Callithrix jacchus: one gene and its partners. The protein of the gene in region 6 purifies or fractionates together with the protein of the main gene of each other region. This does not show direct contact. Links are inferred from orthologs where the notes say so. Each region holds a gene or a part of one and is shown on either strand. Other genes may lie near its edges. The genes, in order: STAT3, DUSP9, ERF, DUSP4, HMMR and MAPK1.

Region 1 (3,500 bases), on a different chromosome or scaffold from region 6:
GAAAAGGGATCTGTCCATTTTCATGCTGTGGGTGATAAAAAAGAAAAAAAAAAGAATCAAAAAAGGAAAATGGATCTGGCCTATAGGGCTGCTCATTTGGGCCATGTCTACTGATCATTAGGTCATGTTTCCTGAGCAAGGCACTGTGCTGGGGCCAGGAAACAGGGCCTCCATCAGGTTGGGGAGTCGGGGTGCAGAGGCAGTATGTAGTCAGGGTGATAATTTTTGAGGTAGGAGGTAGATTTCTTTTCTCCTGGTTGCTATCTCACTCAACCCTTCCAGGGTACCACCCCATCTAACCTTAGAAGAGCTTCTTTTTTTTTTTTTTTTAAAGACGGGATTTCACCATGTTAGTCAGGCTGGTCTTGAACTCCCGACCTCAGGTGATCAGCCCAACTTGGCCTCCAAAGTGCTTGGATTACAGATGTAAGCCACCACGCCCGGCCTAGAAGATCTTTTAAGTGTGTTTTGGAGGGTAGAGCTAAAGGCTTGATATTCCCGGTCCATTTCTTCTTTTTTTTTTTTTCCCTTGTTCCCTATGCATTCCTTTAATCAACTATAGGCCAGTTTTTTTATGGGTTTTCTTTGAGATAGAGTCTTGCTCTGTTACCTGGCTGGAGTGCAGTGGCACGATCTCGGCTCACTGCAACCTCCACCTCCCGGGTTCAAGTGATTCTCCTCCCTCAGCCTCCTGCATGGCTCAGACTACAGGCATGCGCCCCCACACCAGGCTAATTTTGTATTTTTACTAGAGATGGTGTTTCACTGTGTTGGTCAGGATGGTCTCTATCTCTTGACCTCATGATTCGCCCACCTCTTCCTCCCAAAGTGCTGGGATTATAGGCATGGGCCACCGTGCCCAGCCGACTATTGGCTAGTTTTTAAAAAAGAGTTAGTGGAATATTTTATGTGTTGCCTGGGCTAGAAGTAGCTTTATCCTAATAAAGCTGTTGCCACCAAATACACCTGTCTGACACCAGATATCAGCTTGTTAGTGAGTGCTGCTGCTGGTCCCCAGCCCACCACCCAAGGCTACAAAGAACAGGGGCACTTGTTACATCACCCTCTGTCCCTGCTGGGCTACCCAGCAACAAAGATGGGTCAGATAATGGCAGTGTGTTTGTCCTCATTGTGTGCACACAGACAACAGCGGCCACCTTTTAATATGTGAACGCCAGTGGTTTCATGGCCCATTGTGGGACCAATGTGTGTGTGTTCCGTTTTAAGAAATAACACCAGCTGGGCTTGGTGGCTCATGCCTGTAATTCCAGCACTTTGGGAGGCTGAGGTGGGCGGATCACAAGGTCAAGATATCGAGACCATGCTGGCCAACATGGTGAAACCCCATCTCTACTAAAATAATAAAAATTAGCCGGGTGTGGTGATGCATGCCTATAGTCCCAGCCACTCAGGAGGCTAGGGAGGAGAATCACTTGAACCCAGGAGGCAGGAGGTTGCAGTGAGCTGAGATTGCGCCTCTGCATTCCAGCCTGATGTCAGAGCAAGACTCTGTCTCAAAAAAAAAAAAGAAAGAACATCTTGACCCCCAACCTCAAAATGTACTACTTGATTCTTTTTCTTTTCCTTCAGGACCTGGTGTGAATTATTCAGGGTGTCAGATCACATGGGCTAAGTTTTGCAAAGTAAGCAATCTTGTTAAATCCTTGTGGGAATGGGAGTACTAACCTGCATGGCTGTTGTGGAGGGCTCTGGCTTGAAGGCCTGAACTCTTGGTCCAGCAGCCAGTAGGACCTGCCAGCAGGTAGACGGGCCTGAGGATTTGGGTGGTGCACTGTGCCCCAGGAAGGGAAAGGCTGGGGTGGCGGTAGACTTGGCTTTCCCGTTATTCTTTTCTCCAGGAAAACATGGCTGGCAAGGGCTTCTCCTTCTGGGTCTGGCTGGACAATATCATTGACCTTGTGAAAAAGTACATCCTGGCCCTTTGGAACGAAGGGTAGGTCGGACAGAGTGTGCACAGGTGTAACCAAGTCCCCTGCTCTCTGCAAGCCAGTGGCAGTGGATGGCTGCCCTGTTAGCAATAACAACACCATTCCTCTTGGCTTCAGGTACATCATGGGCTTTATCAGTAAGGAGAGGGAGCGGGCCATCCTAAGCACCAAGCCTCCAGGCACCTTCCTGCTAAGGTTCAGTGAAAGCAGCAAAGAAGGCGGCGTCACTTTCACTTGGGTGGAGAAGGACATCAGCGGTAAGTGAGGCTCCCACCCACCTCATCACCGCTGCTAGTTCCAGGCACCTACTGCCCCCTGGTGGGTGGAGATGGCCCGACTCCCTGCCTGACTCAGACACTTTTGGGTGACTTCTAAGTCCTCCCAGCTGAAGCATTGATTGGTTTGCTTTTGTTTTGCTTCCTCCAGTGGCTATTGGTTGAGAAATTTGCAGTTTAAATTTTATTCTTCATCCCTTTTCCTACTTATCCTGTTAATATATCTTACACAAGTAGTTCTATTCAAGTTTATTGCCTTTGACCTAGCTGGTAGCCTCTTCTAAATTAGAAGCCAGCCTGAAACATTTCCACAGTACCAGGTCACTGGACAGGAGATTCAGGGTCTCAACACTGGGGTGGCTTACGTCTTCTCCCTTGGAGGAAATAAAAATGGGCTCTTTCTCTGAGATTACCTAGCTGTAGGTTCCATGATCTTTCCTTCCCACATCCCATAACAGGTAAGACTCAGATCCAGTCGGTGGAACCATACACCAAGCAGCAGCTGAACAACATGTCATTTGCTGAAATCATCATGGGCTATAAGATCATGGATGCTACCAATATCCTGGTGTCTCCGCTGGTCTATCTCTACCCTGACATTCCCAAGGAGGAGGCATTCGGAAAGTATTGTCGGCCAGAGAGCCAGGAGCATCCTGAAGCTGACCCAGGTAGTTGTTGATTTTCCATGTTCCTGGCATTTAATATTTGGGAAAAGTTGGAAATGTCAGGATCCTCGGAGGATAGACAGGCAAATGCCTGAATAACCTGGGGGATCATTATTTCTCCTTATGGGAATGCACTGTAATGAGTGCTTTTCTGGGGGTGACCGATGGGATTTGGGAGGAGAATCAGAATCACTTAGACTAGTGCAGCCCCTGCTTCACGAGAGTTCACTAGTCTTAAGAGGGGATACAGCCCCTCTTTATACGTAGAAAGGAGCAACCAGTATTAGCCTTTCTAAAAACATACCAAAAAGTAAAGAGCATCAACGTAAAGAAGAATTTATATAAACGAATGGATAAAATAGCCAGTTAACATCCAATGGCAGTAACCCTAAATTTAAGTCGACTAAATCCCCCAAACAAAAGATACAGCCAAAACCTAACGTATGCTGCATCCAGATCCATTCACATCCAAAGATACACAAAGACTCAAAACAAAGGGATGGAGAAAGACTTACCAACCAAATGGAGAGCATAAATAAATAAATAAATAGCAGGAGTTGCAGTTCTCGCATCTGATAAAATAGATTTCAAAGCAACAAAGATATAGTGGT
Region 2 (3,279 bases), on a different chromosome or scaffold from region 6:
AGTCCCGGCTAGCAGCCCACTGCCCAGAAGGGAGGGGGAGGGGAAACTGGAAGCCCCTTAGAGATCTCCATCTGGCCGTGGGGAAGATCTAGGCCTCGAACGGCACCCCTCACACTCACCCACCCCACTCCCAGCTTTCCATCACCTGCCCTCTTCCGTAACCGTGACCTCAGACATTTGCTCCTCTGACTCCGTAATGATTCCCACTGTGGGACTCGCAGTGCGCTTTCCATTTTCCACTCCTTAGAGAATGTGTGTAACTTTGATTTCTTTTACTTTAGTTCCTTAGATTCCCCAAAGTGGTCAAAGGGTTGGGATTTTTTCCTAGCTCTTGATATTGCCAGATTAATTTCCAAAAGGGCTATGCCAATATATACCCTGCAACCGTTGAACAGCACGTTGATTTCACAGCAATTTTGCCGGCACTGGGTGTTCTCAAACATGAGGACATTTCTAGCACAGAAGGTGGAAAGTGTTACCTCGTTGGTCATTGTTACTTGTTTTTTGGAGTTGCTTTCCTTCCACGCCTGAGCTTGAACCTTCCCCCAAATATTTGTAAGGCCGCCGCATTCCCTCCTTCCTGCAGTGTGCAGTGTTTTCAGGTTCTTTGCCCATTTATCTACAGGGGTCTTAACCTTTTGGTTGGGTATGAGCTTTATCTTATCTATTGTACATTTTCCTTCAACACTGTTATTTGCTTTTGTTGGGCTTTAAGCAGAAAAGGGACTTTTAGCCAGACCAGTGTTGTGGACACCTCCCCCTGACCTGGTCTCCTATCTCAGCGCTCACCACACCTGAGACCTTGTGCAGTGCCCTGGCTGCCTATGGATCTGCCCTGCCTATTGTGCCCATGGAGGAAAGGATGGAGGCCACCAGCCTTGGTTGAGTGGATGGCATTCTGACATTGGGCAGGGCAGGGCAGGGTGGAGGGCAGGTCGTTGCAGGCCTGGAGGCTGGGAGACTGTTGTGCAAGACGTGACAGTGACCTGGCCTAGAGCTGATGAATTTGAGCCCTTGGCTAGGATAGGGGACAGGGGACAGAGGCATGGATGTGAGAGAGATTTAGCTGGAAACTACTTCTCTCCACTTTGATCAGCCAAGGGGAGAGCCAGGGGTCACTCTTAGGATCAGTTTAGGGCTGGGAGCTCAGGGCTCCTGGGTACTTTTGGCCAGTGCTGTGTGAGTGAAGCCTGCTGGGGTGGGAGGTGCTCTGGGCCAAAGCTGCAGAAAGTTTCTGATCCTGCTTCCTCCTCCCCTGGGCGATTTCAGTGGCATCCCACCTTTGGCCAAGCTGGTAGCTATAAGTCCATTACAGAGATGGTGCCACTGAGATCCAGGCAGGGGAGAAGATGGTCCAGTATCACCGAGTGAGTTGAGTTGAAGGCAGCTTCTGCGACAGGGGGGCTGGGCTCTTGTCCCCACCCCTCCCCCTGCCTCCCGAGGCCAGGCTGGCGCCGGCCAGGGGAGCCGCAGCTGGTCCCCTGCTGGGCCCCTGACCTGCCCTTGGCCTCTGCCCCGACCCCGTCCCGCCTCGGTGGAAGCCCCAGCTCAGCCGACTCGCAGGTCCCACCCGACTGCTTCCTTCGGCTAGCACCCGTTGGCTCACCGGCGCCCAGGCCCGCCCCCGCAGCCCCGCCCCGGCCCGCCCCTCGGAGTTGTAACTCCACGTCCCAAGGCTGTCTCCAAGGTGGAAGCTGGGTCCAGCTGCCAGGAAGCTGCTCGGCTTCCACGTGCGAGCCTGCACCGCCGCCCCGCCTTCTCCTAGCGGCCGGGCCTAGGGACTCCCTGCCCCGGGACGGCGCACCGCGTTCCGCCGTGGCAGTGGCCGTGGCCAGAACGTCCACGCGCAGTCGCCTACCGCCGGATCGCGCTCCAGGTCTCTCTCCTTTTGTTCTCTCCTGAGGGTGGGGGGAGATGGTGACCGGGGCTAGGTCACCTCTGAGAGGACTCGCTGAGGCCCAGCACCTCTGCTCCGCCTGTTTCCCTGGCCCACCTGGCCGTGGGGGAGATCTGGGTCTTGAAAAGCACCCCTCACACTCACACCCCCACCCAGCAAAGTCGGAAGCTGGAACTTGGGGAGCGATCGCGGGCAGGCCGAGAAAGAGGAGCAGAAAGGGGGTATGGAGGTAGACCGCTGCGGCCTCGGGGTACCCCAAGATGAGCCTCGAAGGGGCGGTTAGATGCTCAACCCTTTTCTGGAGGACCTTTCCCCGTGCTGAGCGGCCGCCTCGGGGGTTTTCTTGGGGCACCTTATTGGGAATCCTCGCGTTGGGGGGCCCTGGGCTCCCGCCTTCTGGACGCCCTCGGCCCGCCGGGAGCTCACACTGCGCCTTCCCTCTCTCCATAGTGCCCGTGGCCCGACGTGTCAGAAGCCGAGCGCCGATGGAGGGACTGGGGCGCTCGTGCCTGTGGCTGCGCCGGGAGCTGTCGCCCCCGCGGCCGCAGCTGCTGCTCCTGGACTGCCGCAGTCGCGAGCTGTACGAGTCCGCGCGCATCGGTGGGGCGCTGAGCGTGGCCCTTCCCGCGCTGCTGCTGCGCCGCCTGCGGAGGGGCAGCCTGTCGGTGCGCGCGCTCCTGCCCGGACCTCCGCTCCAGCCGCCCCCGCCTGCCCCCGTTCTCCTGTACGACCAGGGTGGGGGCCGGCGCCGGTGCGGAGAGGCCGAGGCTGAAACTGAGGAGTGGGAAGCCGAGTCGGTGCTGGGTACCCTGCTGCAGAAGCTGCGGGAGGAAGGCTACCTGGCCTACTACCTCCAGGGTAGGTGCCGCGGGGCCCTCCTTTCCAGGGGGTTCGGGATTCCTTTGACCTTAGGCCAGCCCAACCTCTTGTTTTCCAAAGCGGGTTGAGGCCCCCCTCCCCTGATGACCTGCCAGGCTGCTCTGAGAGGAGGGGAGCCCCAAGTATGACCTCCAGCAGGTTCTTCACTCTCCGAAGCCCCAGTCTCTGAGTCTGGAAAATGGGGGGTTGGCCTGACCTGAGCTAGTTCCCAGGATGCTCGAAAGGGAAGTACAAAGCTCGGGTTCCGCAAAGAACAGCAGGGACGGGGAGGGAGACTGGGGGGAACAGGCCCAGGGCAGAGACAGTGTTCTCATGAATCCAGAGCCAGCCGTCGCCAAGAAAGGTCCACTGGACTGTATTAGGGACATATAAAGTGTCAGCTTTCCAGCCTGGGAAAAGAGTAGTATCTGTAAACAGAGGTGCTGGGTTCTTGGGACTTTACAGCCATTCTGGTGGAATGTTACATTCTCCCCCAAGCTCCCCACATCTTGGGGTCCCACTTC
Region 3 (4,124 bases), on a different chromosome or scaffold from region 6:
CTGGTCTCACCAGGGAGGAGGAGGCCTGAGACTTCTTTTTGAGGCACCGGTGAGGCGCCTAAGGCGGACTAGGTACCCCGCAAGGAAGGAGGCGAGGAGGCTGGGATTGAAACCCTAGTTACCGGGAGCCTGAGCTCCGCAGGCCTTCCCTATCTGTGACTTGTCTGTGTCTCCCCGCCCATCTTCTGGATTTGTCGCCCCCACACCCCCGCCCCTCAGATCCGCCCGCCACCCATACGCCCCTCCTTTGGAACCTCAGAGTCTTTTTTGAGACCCTGTTTCCAGGCTGTGCTTGTGAATATTGCTTCTATTTGGCCTCTACCGTGCTGCCGGCTCCCAGGCTCCATCAGATCTGCACAGTGATTTCCTGTTTCCCAGAGCCTCAGGCTTCATCCTTCCCTCCCGACTGAAGCAAAGAACGGAGACTTAACGCTTCCCTACGCGCTGGCTTTCGATCTTAAGCCCTGTCTTCCTCTTTCCTGGCGACCCTCAGTGCCCTTTGGGAGCACATTTGTTCAGACTTTGGTCGCCCCCTCATATCCTGGCCCCGCCTCCGGAACCCCCGGTCCTAATGGTGGAGGTGGGGGGACCTCCGGCGCCAGCTCTGTCCCCGGGACAGCTGCAGCCTGGGCACGGTGGCGGTGGGGGCTTCCAAATGCATTCTCTGGTCACTTCCTCCTCAGCTGGACTGGGGCTATCAGGAAGGACAAGACCCCATCCCCACAGGAGCGGAGGGCACAGCCGCCTCCCCATTTCCGTGGCTGGGAAATGCATCCCACCCATTCCACCCCACCCCTGGACAGCTGCCCCCATTCAGGCTCAGGGTTGGGGGGCTGGGTAAAACTAAGCTGGGAAATGCTGTCCTCCAAGGGCCTGACCCCGCCCCTCTGCAGGGAAGATTCTGCCCCCTCCCCACAAAAGTTTCTGAACCCCATTTCCTCGGAAGGGCCCCCCGTTTTTCCATACAGGCACCCAAAAGAAACTCTCGTGCCCGCAGTGGGCAGGAGAGGAGGAGGGGCAGCAGGTAGCGAGTGCCGAGGACTTAAGTTATCTGCAGACTTGGAGCCTCGGACTAGGGTCACGACCTACGGGACCCCATCCCACCCCCGCCCCCTCCTTCCTCCCTCCCCCGCTGCGCGGCCCCTTTAAGCGCAGAGCCGGCCGGTCCTCAGTGGCTGAGCGCCGGAGAGCGTGTGTGTGAGTGCGCGGGGAGGGGGCGGGCGCAATGTCTCCATGGCGACGCGGCGGTGACGTCGCCGGCCGGGGGGCGTGGGCGTCCCGGCCCCGGAGTGCGATATTAACCCGGGAGGCGGCGGCGGGGAGGGGAGAGGCTCTGAGAGGCGAGGCCGGGTGAGGCGGCAAGGGCGGCCCGACGGGCGCGGGACGGGACGGGGCAGCGCGGGCGCCGGGAGCCGCGGCCCGGAGTCGGGGCGCTTCGCCCCGGGCCCCCAAGCATGAAGACCCCGGCGGACACAGGTGGGGGCGGGGGCAGCACGTGTGGGGGAGACTTGTTGCCCCAGGAAATCGAACGGAGAAACTTTGGGGGGGCTGAGGGGTCCAGGGGAGCCCGAGTGATTCCCCAGTTCTGGGGGACCCCTCAAGCACTCGAGACCTGTTGCTTCTCGTGGCGCGAGCGGGGTTGCTGCCTGGGACCCCCGATTCCTGGCTCTGGGCAGAGTGGTGTGGTTGCTGCGGATCTTGGTCCTATATCCCTACCGGGACCCCGCAGGCTGGGCTCTCTCCCACTCCTGGGATCACGGGGGTGGCGGGGTCCTTCCCCTCCGCTCTTGTCACGTTGCACTCTGGGGGCCGGGACGTGTGCGGGCGGGGGGGGGGCTCGTCCACTGGGCCCGCTATCCCTGGTTCTGCGCTTCGCGGTCCGGCTGGTGACCTTCACCGCAGCGCGTGCCCCGCACCAGGTTAGCGGAGGATACGGGATGGCCTCTAGGAGGAGGGCGTGAGTGGGGAGCCCGAGACTCGGGGTCCGGGCTGCGCCGCCCCTCCCCCGCCCGCCTCAGTCGGCTCCTCGCTCCCCCGCCCTCGCCGAGTCGCAAAGTTCCAAAGCGCAGCCCGAACGTTCGAAAAAGGAACTTTTTGTTTCCGACCTTAGAACGCGCGGCTTTAAGGTGGCTCCGGGGAGACCTGGGTACCCTCCTTCCGCACCACCGGGGCTCCGGGGTAGTGGAGGGTGGAAAAGGTGGGGGGAGACGCAGAGGCTCCCCCCTTATCCCCCCTCCCGGATCCAGCTCTTCTCTTTCAGCGGGCCGTCTCTTCCCTCCGCCCCTCTCTTCCCCGCCAACTTGCTCCTCCTTAAGGGGCCAAGGTTCCCCTCCCCCTCGGTCGGCGGACGGGGGGCAGCGGGATTAACCCCCCTCCCACTCGGACTTTTCCCCCTCCCCTCCCCCGCCGCCCCCGGGCTCGCGCGGGCTGGACTTTGCGCCCAAGCGCGCAGGGGGAGGGGTCCCAGCCGCCCCCTGCCCGTCTACCCCGTCGGAATCCGGCCCGGGGCGGGGACGGGGGAGGGGGAAGGGGGCCGGGCGCCGCTGTTCAAACTTGTTTCCTTCCCCCGGCGGCGGCGGCGGCGGCGGCGGCTCGGGCTCCAGTGTGCGGGTGTATGCCCCGACCGGCCCACCCACCCCACCCCACCCCACCCCATCCCCACCCCACCCCACCCCATCCCCACCCCATCTCCATCCCCCTGCTCGGCGGGTGGGGGAGGCTTAATCTTAAAGGGCAGGGGATTGGGATCGAGGAGGGGCCCTGGAGGTGGGGCCGGGGTGCGGAGTGCTGTAGGGTCAGTCACGTGCGTCCCACAGACTCCCCCAGCTTCCACTCGCTCCTGGGCCGCTGGGCCCCGGGGGCAGCAGGAGCCTCCTCTGGTCCGAAGAGGAGGCCGAGGCGCCTAGACAACCCCGCCTCATCTTCCCTCCCTGCTACCGGCCTTGGCCTGATGGGACCCGCTGGTTGCTTCCCCAACCCCGTCTGAGGGCCGAGCAGTGTGTGGGTTCTCCGGCGGGGGGGAGAAGAGGGGCAGGAGGCCTGGAATGGCCTCCAATCGGTGCATCTTTCCATCTGCCTCCTGGCCTGCCGCTCCGCACCCCTCCATCCGATCCTCCATCCCGGCCCCTCTCTCCTCTGCCGTGGCTGTTTCCCACTTCCTGTTTTCTTCCCGGCTCTGGCGCCACAGAGGGCTGCCTGAAGTGGGGGAGGTAGTGGGGCCCCCCAGGAGGCCGGCGTGTTGTTCCTCTACCATCACTCCTCCCTTCCGACCCTCATGGTCCCTTAAAAAAAGTTTGGGCTGTCACGTGAGGTTGGGGGGGTGCCCAGGAGTTTTGTCCCCCCAGGCTTGCAGTCTGTCTGGGAGAATCCCTACCCCGCCTCTGTGGGACCCAGGTGTGCTTCCGGGACCTCGCCATCCCAGCCCTTCCTGTCTGTCTGCTGCCACTCTGCACCCTGCCTCGCAGTCTTGTGAACCCCTCTCTCTATGTGTCTGCTCTCTCCCTGCCTCACTGGCCCCCATATTCCTGAGGTCCCACACCCCCAAGCTTCCTCTGTGCAGGTCTGGTGTTTCCCTGTTTTAAGCACGTGGACGCATACACAACACACTCACACATGCTCCCCTTGCCCGTGCCTGGCTCCTGGCTCCAGGGCCTGGGGAACAGAGCCCCATTGAGACACCCTGACGTCACCCCCTCTTCATTCTCCCCCCCAAAGCCAGGAACAGGCCCTCATGTATGCTGTGTCCGATTAGGAAAGCCATCCTTGGGGTGGGCCTGGGAGTGGGGAAGGGTCCCTGCCAGGAGTGGGAGCCAGGGTCCAGACCCTGGAGGAGGGGTTACTCAGGGAAGGGGTTTAACAAGGGGGCCTGGGACAGCTCCCAGAATGCGGCTTGAGGCCTTTCCAGAGCCCCCCCACCTCCTTTCCGAGTTCCCTTTGTGTTGCATGTAGTCTCTCTCACTCCCTCTCTTCTGCAAAGTTTATTTTTAGCCTCCTGCTCCCCCGCTCCCAGGACTGTCGCTGCACACACGTTGCCTGGTTACCGGGACACGGAGGCTGGGGCGGGTGGGCTGGGAAGGGTGGCTTTAATTTTGGGGGGAGGGTGGAAGTCAGTACATCCCCTACCC
Region 4 (4,144 bases), on a different chromosome or scaffold from region 6:
GAGGTCCCGGAGCTGCCGCTCTAGGGCGGTCCCCTGCGGATTTCTTCCAGGAAGGAAAGCAAAACACAACAAAACAAACCCAGACTCCACGTGGGGCTGGAGCATGGCCCCAGCCCTGCTGTGTTCTCGCGGGTCCTGGGCTCGGAGGCCAGCGAAGGAAGGTGTTTGTGCCCGCGCTCTCTATGGGGGGAGTTGAAGGCAAAGCAGTTCGAGGAACATCCCGGCCAGCCCCGGTCACTCGAAGGGACTTGGGTCCCCGAGGAATTGCCTTCATCTCTGCCACCAGCGCCGACCAGCTCAAACAATGGCGCGGACGCCCACCCTGGTGGCCTAAGCAGGACCTGGTCCCGCTCAGCGGCCAGGCTTTCCGGGACATGCCCCTTCCTGGCACTTTCTCCTGGAGCGCTTTGGGGAGAAGGGAGGAGGACTGGGCTCAAGTGGAGGGGCAGAGCGGCTCTCGCGGAAAAAGAAAGAAAAATCAGCAAAATCGCCTTAGCAGTTCAACCAAAGGTCAACAGCAGCGTTTCCCTAGCAGCTGACAGGTCAAATGGGCAGGAAACAACTGCCGAGAACAAAGCCCCCCGCTGTTCGGCAGGGGCGAACCCGACTCTTCAGCACTGAGCAGTTTTGTTGTGCTTTTTGGAGGGGAGAGATTTCCGCCCTCCTCCAGCTCCCTTCCTCCCCAGTGGACAGGTCCGGAAAGGAAAAAGGAAAAAGGAAAGGAAAGGAAAGGAAAGGAGAAAGGAAAGGAAAGGAAAGGAAAGAAAGGAAAGGAAAGGAAAGGAAAGGAAAGGAAAGGAAAGGAAAGGAAAGGAAAGGAAAGGAAAGGAAAGGAAAGGAAAAGAAAGGAGGGAGGGGGCGGGGGCGCCTGCGGGGGGAGGTGCGGCTCTTTGATGGAGGGGGGAGTCTGAACCGCCTCCCGGGCTTGGAATCCCAGACCCGACCCGCGCGAAAGAATGCTCGGAATGCGGCGGCGGGAGGCGGGGGCGCAGCGCAGCAGAGGGCGCCCGGACCCCACGCGCCCTGCCCGCTCCCCAGCCCGACAGCCGCGGACACACCTGGTCCTGCAGGTGAGGCAGGCGCCCATTCCCTTCAGGAACTCGGACAGCACGCGATTTTTTCGGGATATCCGACTACCAAATGTGACAAGACAGCCAGGTCGCCAAGTTTCGCCAGGGCTCGCTTAAATCCGGCACGCGCCGCCATCAGATAGTCGCAAATCCGACTGAACAAAAGGTGGTCATTCTGGGCTGCCCAGATTTGCAGGAGCTAGAGGACGGATTCCGCCTGGCGTCCCCCAGATATACCGTCCTACAGCCTCCTGCTCCCAGAGCCTGCAGCTAGCCCCGGACCGAGATTGGCCACCTTCCAAGCGGAGCTCGGAGTTGGGCAGCGGGAAAGCAGATACAGATCGCTCTACACAGTGTGTGCAACCCAATCTCCCTTTCTGCATTTGCCAGGCTCTTGTTTTCAGTGAAACTGGCAGGGCTGATTGTACCTCGGCGCCCACCCGCCTTCACCCTTTTCCCTACCTCTCGGATTTTCCCGGTCGGGTTTAGTGCAGGGTCCCGGTATGCCAAACCGATAGGCCTATCTTGTTCCCAAGCGCCCCGTGGTACTTGAGAACACTTCCCGGGACTCGTGATGGGCGGCGCAGAAGAGTCGCTTCACCCTCGAGGCCAGGACCTTTAGTGTCAATAAACGGGGCTTCGCTAGGACAGTGCGGAATTGCAGGTGACCGGGGGAACCCGCCCGCACTGTCCCTGAGTACTTGAAGCTCGCACTTGCATAGAAACCTTGCAAGCCCGTACACACGAACAAGCACAAAGGGGCGCGCGGGGATCCCCGCAACCACGAATCACGCAGGGGACTCCTTTCCTTGCCACTAAGGCGCAGGCCGCCAAGACCTCCTCCATCGACCTCCTCCATCTCCCTCCAGCTCGCGCCCGGAGCCCGCGCTTACCTTTGAGCAGGCAGATATCGGTGCGCTCGGCGTTGCGGCGCAGAGCCTGCACCACCAGCGACACGGTGCTGTCCTCGCGGAGGCTCTCGGCGCGCGGGCTGCGTTCGTCGTAGACGATGACCGCTGAGTAGAGGCCGGAGCGCAAGCGAGCGCGCACCTCCTCTTCGGCGGGCAGGATCTGCTCCAGGCTCACAGAGCCCTTAGCCCGCCGCCGCACGATGGTGTTGCAGCGCACATTGACCGAGCCTCGGATGTAGCCCGCGCTGTGCGCCAGGAACGGTCTGCAGTCCAGCAGCAGGCACTTGCCACCGCTCGGCAGCCCCAGGGCGCTGTGACTGCCGCTGCCGCCTGCGCCGCCGCCGTTCTCGTCCCGGTTCATCAGCCTTTTGAGCACACTGCAGTCCATCTCCCGCAGCTCCTCCATCGTCACCATGGTCGCCGGGAACCGAGGCGGCTGGGCGCTCGAGGAAGAGAAGAGCACCCGGGCCGCCTAGTCTGCAGGAAGGAGCGGGCGCGGGCTACGCGGGGACGCCTGCTGAAGTGGCCGCAAACGTGGTCCCCTGGCGCTCCCGAGGGCGAGTCTCTTCTCTCCGTCCCCTTCCTCCCGCAGCCTCGCGGTCACATAGCAGTCACAGCGGCCTCGGGCGCCCAGCCGGACAGCGCCCGGCGCGGAGGGGGAGGCGGCGCTGGAGGGGAGTGTGTTTACGGGAGAGGACCGCGGACTCTCTTCGGCCGCCGCCTCTTGTGTATTTTTGCGGGTCGCGCTGCTCCTATCGCCACCGGCGCCGGCGCTGCGGCTCCCCACGCTTCCCCGGCGCTCCGCGCACTGCCCCAGCCAGAGTTTCCTCCTCGGCTTAGAGATTTATTAATGCTCCTCCGCGCTCCCGGGGGAGGGGGCGCTCAGTACTACCCCGCCAGGCCCCGCCCCGTTCCATTCCGGGCCCCGCGCCCTTCCCCGCCCCCTGCGCTGACTCCCAGCTCCCTCCGGGCCCCTCCTCCCGCCTCCTCCCTGGAGCTTGAATGGAGCGCGGCCGCTCGCTCCCGGTCACGGGAACTCGACGTCACAAAGAGCGGAGTAAACAGGGCGCCGGGTGCTCGCCGTCAGGCCCATTCATAAAACCGAGACCGAGAGGAAGAGGGAGGCGGCCTCCGACCCGCCGCGAGCTGCAGGCAGCGCGGGGACTTTGTGAATGGAGCGCGCGGCGCCTTTTCGCTGTCCGCTGGCAGGCCCGGCCTCCGCTGCGCCTTCAGCCCGACACCCGCACCTGTGCCGCCGCTCGGCTGGCGGCGCCAAGGGAAATAGCCAGCCGAGGAGGCCGGGGCTCGGGTTTGAGCTTTCATCCGTTTGCACCTTCGCGCTTCACCGCGTGACAGCCCCGCAGTCTCTCCCCGGTACCCAAGGAGAGGGGACTGGAGCGCCGCTGCCCACCCGGCAGGTCCTGCACCTCCTAGCCCCAGACTCCCTGTGCGCTTTCGGCCCGGCCAGTCCTTTCTGAAAATGCCATTCCTGAGACGTTGCGTATGCATTAGCGTGATCGATTTTCATCTAAAGCCATTAAATCAGTTTTATAGCTTCCCCAGGAACGTGGGCAACCCCCCTGCTTAGAAGATGAAAGAGCAAGTCCTCCCGCCCGAAGCCCAGGATCGGAGTGAGGTGTGGGGTTTGTGGCTTTACGACCCATAGGGAGGCATTAATTGCCGGAATGGTGTGCGGAGGGAGGAGAACAGGCTGCACTCCTGTCCCCGCCTCCTAAAAGATGTTTATTTAACCCTGGTCGGGAGAAAAATAAGGTTTTCGGGCTTGGGGGATGTCTTCACCCTATCTGGCATGGTTGTGAATTATCCTTTCAGGAAATGACAGGGTCCACATTTGGTATGGAGAAATGTACCCGGGAAGAATGACCTTTTAAAAGAACTTCAGCAGCTCTGGGCCCGATTCAGGTTTCCGAGCATCCCTTTTTCCAGGTCACGTGGCAGCCCTCCCCATCCCCATTTCTCTTTTGCATTTAATTTCCCAGAGGCGGCATTTGGCTGGGGGTTTGTGCACGCACACGATGGGGACCGTGCAGAAGCCAAAAATCATTCGCCCGACATCTTGCCAAGTCTTGTTAGTGAGAATTAATCACAGAGCAAGGAAGTTACAGGACTCGCTCGCAGTCTCGGAGGCTGCGGAGTAGCGTA
Region 5 (3,500 bases), on a different chromosome or scaffold from region 6:
CACCTACTTGACATCTTCAAGTATATATTAAATATTAACCTATCCAAAGCAGCTTGATCTTTCTGTTTTTCCCCGGCCCTAATCAATCTTCCTCATAGCTCAAGTGAGCTACGCACTTACTTACAACTTACTTAGATACCTTTTTATTTCATTTATTTATTTATTTATTTTCTGAGATGGAGTTTCACTCTTGTTGCCCAGGCTGGAGTGCAATGGCGCGATCTTGGCTCATTGCAACCTCCACCCGCTGGGTTCAAGTTATTTTGCTGCCTCAGCCTCCTGAGTAGCTGAGATTAGAGGCATCTGTCACCATACCCAACTAATTTTTTGTGTTTTAGTAGAGACGGGATTTCACCATGTTGGTCAGGCTGGTCTCGAACTCCTAACCTGAGGTGATGCAACTGCCTTGGCCTCCCAGAGTGCTGGGATTACAGACAGGAGCCACCGTGCCCGGCCTGCTTAGACACCTTTAATGGTTCCCCTCCTTCCCCCACCGTACCTTGCAGTGATGACCGTCATGCCACCATCTTCGACTCCAGCCTTTCTTACTCATTAAGCTCTAGTGTCACATCTTATTTTTTGATTTTGAATAATTTTCATGTTTGATAGTTATTTTCTTTTCCATCTCTGTATGCATACTTCCTGCACATAGGAGGCACTCGATTATTTTTTCTTTGAATACACAGCAGATACCATGTAAACACATTAGTACTTACCTCAGAACACTGAATTCTTACCTGTGTTAAATGCATGACCACAATAAAAACTTTTTAGTTTTACCTTAAAGTATATACAATGTAAACCCATAAGTTATGATTGTCATACACCTTAGTTAGAAAACTACTTTGACTTTTTTTTTTTTCTTTTTAATAAGCTATAAAGCATTAACAGCCAGTGAGATTGAAGATCTTAAGCTGCAGAACTCATCATTACAGGAAAAATTGGCCAAGGCTGGAAAAAATGCAGATGATATTCAGGGTCAGATATTGGCAACCGAGAGTTCAAATCAAGAATATGCAAGGTAAGTAGAACAAATCATGGCCTTAGAACCGTTAAGACAACTTCATGTTGAAAGCGAGCTGGTAACTTGCTTTCTTCCGTCTTATATTGCAAATTGAGAACTTAGTTAAAAAATGGTACTTCTTGTAATCCCAGCACTTTGGGAGGCCGAAGCGGATGGATCACAAGGTCAACAGATCGAGACCATCCCGGTCAACATGGTGAAACCCTGTCTCTACTAAAATTACAAAAAATTAGCTGGGCATGGTGGCGCATGCCTGTAATCCCAGCTACTCAGGAGGCTGAGGCAGGAGAATTGCCGGAACCCAGGGGGCGGAGGTTGCGGTGAGCCGATATGGAGCCATTGCACTCCAGCCTGGGTAACGAGCGAAACTCCGTCTCAAAAAAAAAAAAAAAAAAAAAAAAAAGGTACTTCTTGAAGAGTTTCTTCAATTAAAAAAAAAAAAGGAAAAATGAATGAAAATGGCTATAAAATGTTTAGTGAACTCTTCTCTCTCAAACCAAAGGATGCTTCTAGATCTGCAGACCAAGTCAGCACTAAAAGAAAGAGAAATTAAAGAAATCACAGTTTCTTCTTTTCAAAAAATAACTGATTTGCAGAACCAACTCCAGCAACAAGAGGAAGATTTTAGAAAACAACTGGAAGATGAGGAAGCAAGGTACTCTATGATTAGAGCCGGAGTGCCTGTAACTGAGTTACGATGCTATGTTTTAAATAACTACGTTTTTCTCAATTTAATTTTTCCATGCAGAAAAGCTGGAAAAGAAAATAAAATGGCACAATTAACTGAAGAAATTAACAAGTGGCGTCTCCTTTACGAAGAACTGTATAATAAAGTAAAACCTTTCCAGGTTTGTCAGTTAGGAGTTAAACTTACTTGTGTTTATTTTAGGAATTCACTTTTTTCCTGTTACTGTCCATGACTCAGGATTTCTGCCAGATCATTTTGCTCTGCATTTACAGCGCAAGTTTAGCTTACTATTAAAGGTTTATACATTTTATTAAATTCTTATGCAGAATTTTTTCCCACATTATTGAAGTATAATTGACAAATTTAATTGACAGAGTTTTCAATGGACCCTTTATGGTTTTAATAAAAAAACATTGTAATGAGGAACTTAAAGTTTGGCAGAGAGCTTGCCTGGTATGGGCTTTTGATAATTAACCTATTTTAATTTGCGATATGATTTATCTCATCGCAAATACTCATTGTTTCTCAATACACTGATGTTTTAAGAGAAAAAAAGGATAAGTGCTGATCTTGGAACGTGGATTGAAGTACAGTATTGGTTATAATGTGGTGATCCAACTGATACAGATAAAGCTGGCCAGCTGGCTTTTTTTCCTTGTTTCTTTTCCTCTGGTTTAATTACCTTTCAAATGAAAAACACAAAAGTTTAAAAGATTTTCATAGAGTATCTCTGGAGAGTTCTGAGAATATGTAAACATACCCTGTTTCTATTTCTGTAGTGTTTATGGTTTATATGAAACTGGTAAGATCAAACTGTTTTAAGTCTTAACTTTATTTACAAAATCTTTTTTAGCTACAATTAGATGCTTTTGAAGCAGAAAAACAGGCATTGTTGAATGAACGTGGTGCTGCTCAGGAAGAGCTAGATAAAATAAGAGATTCATATGCTGAATTATTGGGTCATCGGAATTTAAAACAAAAAATCAAGCATGTCGTGAAGTTGAAAGATGAAAATAGCCAACTCAAATCGGTTTGTAAAATGACATTTCATTTTATTAAAGATATTGGAGTGGGGCTATTCTAACTGTAATACTTAAAATGAAAATCAGAAAAAAGTAGCAGTTTATAGATGAAAATTGATCTGTGATTTTAGTTGACTTATTTTGGAGTGTTGACCAGATGGTTGTCATTCCATGTTCTAAAATTTTCCAGCTACCTTCTTAATATATTGTAAATTGCTAGAGTAATTGGATGAATTCATTCAGCTTTACATATCTATTTCTGTTTGCAAAACTGCAAACTCCTTGACGTAAAACCATAAAGACAAGCAGTGTTCAAAAATAGTTGGACATTTAAATTTTTTGATATGTATTGAGATGTAATTGACATCTTATACAATTCACCCATGGAAAGTGGACAATTCAGTGATATTTTGTATACTCACAGATTTGTGCAACCATCACCATAGTCAATTTTAGGACATTTTCATCACCTCAAAATGAAACCCTGTTATCCTTTTCCTAACACCCTCCTATCTCCTCATCCTACCCCACCTTTCAGCGCTAAGCAACCACTAATCTACTTTCTGTCTCTATTGATTTTACTGTTGTAGACATGACATATTCATGGATTCAAATAATATGTGGCCTTTTGTTACTGGCTTCTTTCCATCAATTAGCATAATATTTTCAAGGTTCATTCATGTTGTAGCATGGACAGTACTTTTTTAATTGATTGATAATTTATTATGTGGGTATACCACATTTTATTCATTTGTCAGTTGGTAAA
Region 6 (4,151 bases):
TTGTCCTGCCTCAGCCTCAAAAGTAGCTGGGATTATAAGTGCCTGCCACCTCGCCTCGATAACTTCTCTCCACCCCACCTCCTACGGAGTCTTTGCTCTGTTGCCCAGGCTGGAGTGCAGTAGTGAGATCTCAGCACACTGCAACCTCTGCCTCCCGGGTTCAAGCAATTCTCCTGCCTCAGCCTTTCAAGTAGCTGGGATTACAGGCATTCACCACCTCGCCTGGCTAGTTTTTATATTTTAATAGAGACGGGGTTTCACCATATTGTCCAGGCTGGTCTTGGACTCCTGACCTCGTGATCTGCCCACCTCGGCCTCCCAAAGTGCTGGGATGACAGGCGTGAGCCACCGTGCCTGCCTTTAATTTTTGTATTTTTAGTGGAGACCTGGCTCTCAAACTCCTGACCTCAAGTGATCCGCCCGCCGAGGCCTCCCAAAGTACTGGGATGATAGGTGAGAGCCACCGCGCCCTCCCTTCTGCTTTATATTTCTTCACAGTACTTACCACAGCTTGAGTATTAAATGTATTTGTCTGGCCGGGCGCCGTGGCTCATGCCTGTCATCCCAGCACTTTGGGAGGCTGAGGCAGGCGGATCACTTGAGGTCGGGAGTTCGACAGCAGCCGGACCAACATGGTGAAACGCTGTCTCTAAAAAATAAATTAATTAAAAACAAACAAGTAAATAAATAAACGCTGTCTCTAATAAATAAATAAATAAATAAATAAATGTCTCCTCTCTCTAAAATGTAACTTCTATGAGGGTGGATCCCCAGGAACATAGAGTGTGGTCAACAAACATCTGAGCTAAGCTCTGATTCTCCTATCCTCTCAGTGTCTCCTTTTAATCTAGACAATTGTGCTTCTCACTTTCTCAGTATGGAAATATCTTTCTCAGTCTGGGTCATGTCTTTCGGTTTCTGCCCCAGTGCCAACGCCTCTTAGTTTATCAGCGTGTGGGCCACGGATTAGCAGAGGCCTGAGCTGTGGCGCCGCCGGGCTACGGCGCGTCGTCAAGCCTCAGGCACAGCTCCGAGCCCTCGCTGGTTCTGTTAGGACCCTGCTCCGGCGCGGGCCCCGGCCACATGTCACTTCAGTCCCATAGGTTCTGCCCCACGTCTGTCTCCCTGAGTCTCTCAAGAGCCGAGTCCCGCGCCTCCGACCCCGCGAATACACGTGACCACGCCCGGGGGTGGCCCCTCAGTCAACGCAGCCGCAGTGCCCCACCCCGAGCCCGTCGCTTCCGCCGGCCCGCCTGGCCCCGCCCCATCCACGAAGAACCAATCTGCACGCACGTTGCTTGGCCCCCTCCCCGGCACTCTCCTCGGCGCGCGCCCCTCCCTCCGCCCGCCCGTCTGTCTGGCAGGCAGGCAGGCAGGCAGTCGGCTCGAGCGGCTGTGGGCTCTTCAGGTCTCCCCCCCGGCGTCTTCCTTCCTCCTCCCGGTCAGCGGCGGCGGCTGCTCCGGCGGCGGCGCGGTCCCTTCGGGAGGGGCGACAGGAGCCGAGCGGCGGCCGCGGAGCGTCGAGTCCAGTGCGGCGGAGGCGGCGGCGGCCCGGCAACCAACATGGCGGCGGCGGCGGCGGCGGGCGCGGGCCCGGAGATGGTCCGCGGGCAGGTGTTCGACGTGGGGCCGCGCTACACCAACCTCTCGTACATCGGCGAGGGCGCCTACGGCATGGTGTGGTGAGTGTCCGTGCCTGGCCACGCCCGACCTCCCCACCACCGGGGGCCGCGGCGGACGCAGCCTCGGCCTCGCCCGTGCCTCGGCCTCGGCAGCCGCGGCGACCTCGAACCCGGACTTCACCGCGGTCCGCGCGCCGGGACTCGGGCGGTGCCCCGGGCCGATTGAGACCCGGGCCCGCGGTCGCTCGGGAAGGGGCGCAGGGAGTGGCGTGGGGGGCGGAGGCCGGAGGCCGGAGGCTGGGTCTCGGGCCCAGGGCGCAACGCGGCCTTTAAAGTCTGGACCCTCGGGAAGGCAACGGAAGCGCCCCCACTCCTCAATTTGCTAACATCATGGCTTGCTTGATTGTAAACTGGGAATTCCATCAGATGCTTGTCGGTGTTGGCGGCGGCTGCTGAGGTCCTGAAAGCGATTTGTCTCCGCGTGTGTGCAGAACACCAAAATAGTCATTTTTTTTCTACTCGCCTTTGCAGCCAACGGCTTTGATTAAATATCCTCAGCGGTGCTAATGGTGGTCTGCGCGCAGGCTTTATAAAATGCATTGCTGACAGCAGTGTTATTTCCGTCTTGAAGTTTTTACTTTAAAGTGGATTTTAATATCACACTATTGGCGTTTCAGGAAGGTTAACTCAGCCTCAGTTTCTTGATTTATTAAAGATCCGTTTAGAGTTGGGCCTAATTTGACTTTTTTTTTTTTTTTAGTCCCCTAGTGAGCTCTTTTACCAGCATAAATGCTCCCAGATGTTTTAGCCCAATTGCTGTGGACTTTAGTGGTCAATAAGTATGCAGCCTTTCTGGAGTTTTTGCAAAATCACATGTAGGCTCCCTCATCTTGATTTAGGTCCCTTAGAAAAGTGAAGTGATGGTGACTGTATTGTTTTTATTAGAGCAAACTAGCTGTAACATTTTGTGCTGGTGAAGACTTGTGGAAGTAGATTCCCTTAAATCACAGTGTCTTTTGTGTTGACCGAAGGAATTAAACCGATATTTTATTGAGCACTTCATGGTAGGTACTGTGCAACATACATGATTTCATTTTATTTGAACAGCCACATTGAAGGAGGAAAAGATGGTGTTATTCCTTTTTTCAGGTGAGAAGGTATTTCAGGTGATAAAGTATTTTGAGGTGAAGTTCAGGATGAGGTAATAGAACTAAAGAGTTATTCTTAAGATTGTAGAGTGAGATTCTACTTCACACACCACACCTCTTTTCAGCTGTTTTTAGGAAAACACCCTGCTTTCCTTAGGGTAATTAATAATTGCAGAATTTTGTGTATTTCACTGTTATAAAGTAAATGTAAGTCTATTTCAGAAGTGTATTCAGATTTCAATCGTCATAATTTTAGAAATGCAATAGAAGGCATGTTTTGCCAAGTATTGCAGCTAGATAGAAAGATTACTTAAAATTTTTTTAAAGAGACTTTAATTGAATCTTTCATATTTTCACTTTTTTTTTTTTGAGATGGAGTCTCGCTCTGTTGCCCAGGCTGGAGTGCAGTGTCAAGATCTCTGCTTACTGCAACCTCTGCCTCCCAGGTTCAAGTGATTCTTCTGCCTCAGCCTCCTGAGTAGCTGGGATTACAGTATTTTCACTTTATTTAGGCGCAAAATGCTGAATACAATTGTAAAAATTAACATGAACTCACAGGTTTAGGAGCCAAGAGAGAATTTAAATTAGGTCGAGCCTAAAAGAAATAAGGCCCTAAAGCCAGGCGGGGTGGCTCAAGCCTGTAATCCCAGCACTTTGGGAGGCTGAGGGGGGTGGATCACAAGGTCAAGAGATCGAGACCATCCTGGTCAACATGGTGAAATCCCGTCTCTACTAAAAATACAAAAAAATTAGCTGGGCATGGTGGCGCGTGCCTGTAATCCCAGCTACTCAGGAGGCTGAGGCAGGAGAATTGCCTGAACCCAGGAGGCGGAGGTTGCAGTGAGCCGAGATCGTGCCATTGTACTCCAGCCTGGGTAACAAGAGCGAAACTCCGTCTCACACACACAAAAAAGAAATAAGGCCCTAAAAAGTAATGGAGAGGAAGTATTGCCAATAACATCATTTCTGTACCATACATCTCACTGTTGTTGCACTCACTGGGAAGTGTGCCCGTGAACGTGTCTCATTATGAGAGGCTCAGAATTTCCCATCATGTCCTTTGGCCCTTTTAACAAAATTAACTTATCTAAAATGTGGACTGAAAAAAGTCTTTTAAGTTTAGGACACATCACTTGAAAAGATACCCCCATCTGATAAGGTTTCCCCTATCTGATAAGGTTTTTACTAGTCTGAAGTTTAGATCTGGGAACTAATTCTGTCAACTGCTGTAGGCTCGTTTGACCTTCTGACTCTCCGTTTGAATGCTAGGTCCTCTTATTATGATTTTCCTTTCTAACTAAAACACAAATGCAAATATAATTGGGTATTTGAATCCTAGATTCAAATTATAGCCTTTTATCAGGTTGATGACATACCCTAT

Evidence for each region.
Region 1: the proteins of MAPK1 (region 6) and STAT3 purify together in Homo sapiens (affinity purification with western blotting; 3 studies listed by BioGRID and IntAct, with this or other methods). This does not show direct contact. The link is inferred for Callithrix jacchus from reciprocal best matches to the Homo sapiens genes MAPK1 and STAT3.
Region 2: the proteins of MAPK1 (region 6) and DUSP9 purify together in Homo sapiens (affinity purification with mass spectrometry; 5 studies listed by BioGRID and IntAct, with this or other methods). This does not show direct contact. The link is inferred for Callithrix jacchus from reciprocal best matches to the Homo sapiens genes MAPK1 and DUSP9.
Region 3: the proteins of MAPK1 (region 6) and ERF purify together in Homo sapiens (co-immunoprecipitation; 3 studies listed by BioGRID and IntAct, with this or other methods). This does not show direct contact. The link is inferred for Callithrix jacchus from reciprocal best matches to the Homo sapiens genes MAPK1 and ERF.
Region 4: the proteins of MAPK1 (region 6) and DUSP4 purify together in Homo sapiens (affinity purification with mass spectrometry; 6 studies listed by BioGRID and IntAct, with this or other methods). This does not show direct contact. The link is inferred for Callithrix jacchus from reciprocal best matches to the Homo sapiens genes MAPK1 and DUSP4.
Region 5: the proteins of MAPK1 (region 6) and HMMR purify together in Homo sapiens (affinity purification with mass spectrometry; 4 studies listed by BioGRID and IntAct, with this or other methods). This does not show direct contact. The link is inferred for Callithrix jacchus from reciprocal best matches to the Homo sapiens genes MAPK1 and HMMR.

The regions. Positions count from the first base shown.
Region 1 is NC_133506.1:121,751,031-121,754,530, reverse strand, and holds part of STAT3 (signal transducer and activator of transcription 3), read left to right. Parts: intron 1-1,590; coding exon 1,591-1,643; intron 1,644-1,859; coding exon 1,860-1,954; intron 1,955-2,066; coding exon 2,067-2,206; intron 2,207-2,682; coding exon 2,683-2,895; intron 2,896-3,500. UniProt on the Homo sapiens protein: Signal transducer and transcription activator that mediates cellular responses to interleukins, KITLG/SCF, LEP and other growth factors. Once activated, recruits coactivators, such as NCOA1 or MED1, to the promoter region of the target gene.
Region 2 is NC_133524.1:149,571,772-149,575,050, forward strand, and holds part of DUSP9 (dual specificity protein phosphatase 9), read left to right. Parts: intron 1-1,684; exon of another isoform or gene 1,685-1,876; intron 1,877-2,347; 5' UTR 2,348-2,382; coding exon 2,383-2,755; intron 2,756-3,279. UniProt on the Homo sapiens protein: Inactivates MAP kinases. Has a specificity for the ERK family.
Region 3 is NC_133523.1:37,282,179-37,286,302, reverse strand, and holds the start of ERF (ETS domain-containing transcription factor ERF), read left to right. Parts: upstream 1-1,324; 5' UTR 1,325-1,454; coding exon 1,455-1,476; intron 1,477-4,124. UniProt on the Homo sapiens protein: Potent transcriptional repressor that binds to the H1 element of the Ets2 promoter. May regulate other genes involved in cellular proliferation.
Region 4 is NC_133514.1:30,456,591-30,460,734, forward strand, and holds the start of DUSP4 (dual specificity protein phosphatase 4), read right to left. Parts: upstream 2,801-4,144; 5' UTR 2,397-2,800; coding exon 1,964-2,396; intron 1-1,963. UniProt on the Homo sapiens protein: Regulates mitogenic signal transduction by dephosphorylating both Thr and Tyr residues on MAP kinases ERK1 and ERK2.
Region 5 is NC_133503.1:26,272,623-26,276,122, forward strand, and holds part of HMMR (hyaluronan mediated motility receptor), read left to right. Parts: intron 1-874; coding exon 875-1,021; intron 1,022-1,526; coding exon 1,527-1,679; intron 1,680-1,772; coding exon 1,773-1,872; intron 1,873-2,565; coding exon 2,566-2,742; intron 2,743-3,500. UniProt on the Homo sapiens protein: Receptor for hyaluronic acid (HA). Involved in cell motility. When hyaluronan binds to HMMR, the phosphorylation of a number of proteins, including PTK2/FAK1 occurs.
Region 6 is NC_133502.1:193,829,249-193,833,399, reverse strand, and holds the start of MAPK1 (mitogen-activated protein kinase 1), read left to right. Parts: upstream 1-1,351; 5' UTR 1,352-1,563; coding exon 1,564-1,682; intron 1,683-4,151. UniProt on the Homo sapiens protein: Serine/threonine kinase which acts as an essential component of the MAP kinase signal transduction pathway. MAPK1/ERK2 and MAPK3/ERK1 are the 2 MAPKs which play an important role in the MAPK/ERK cascade.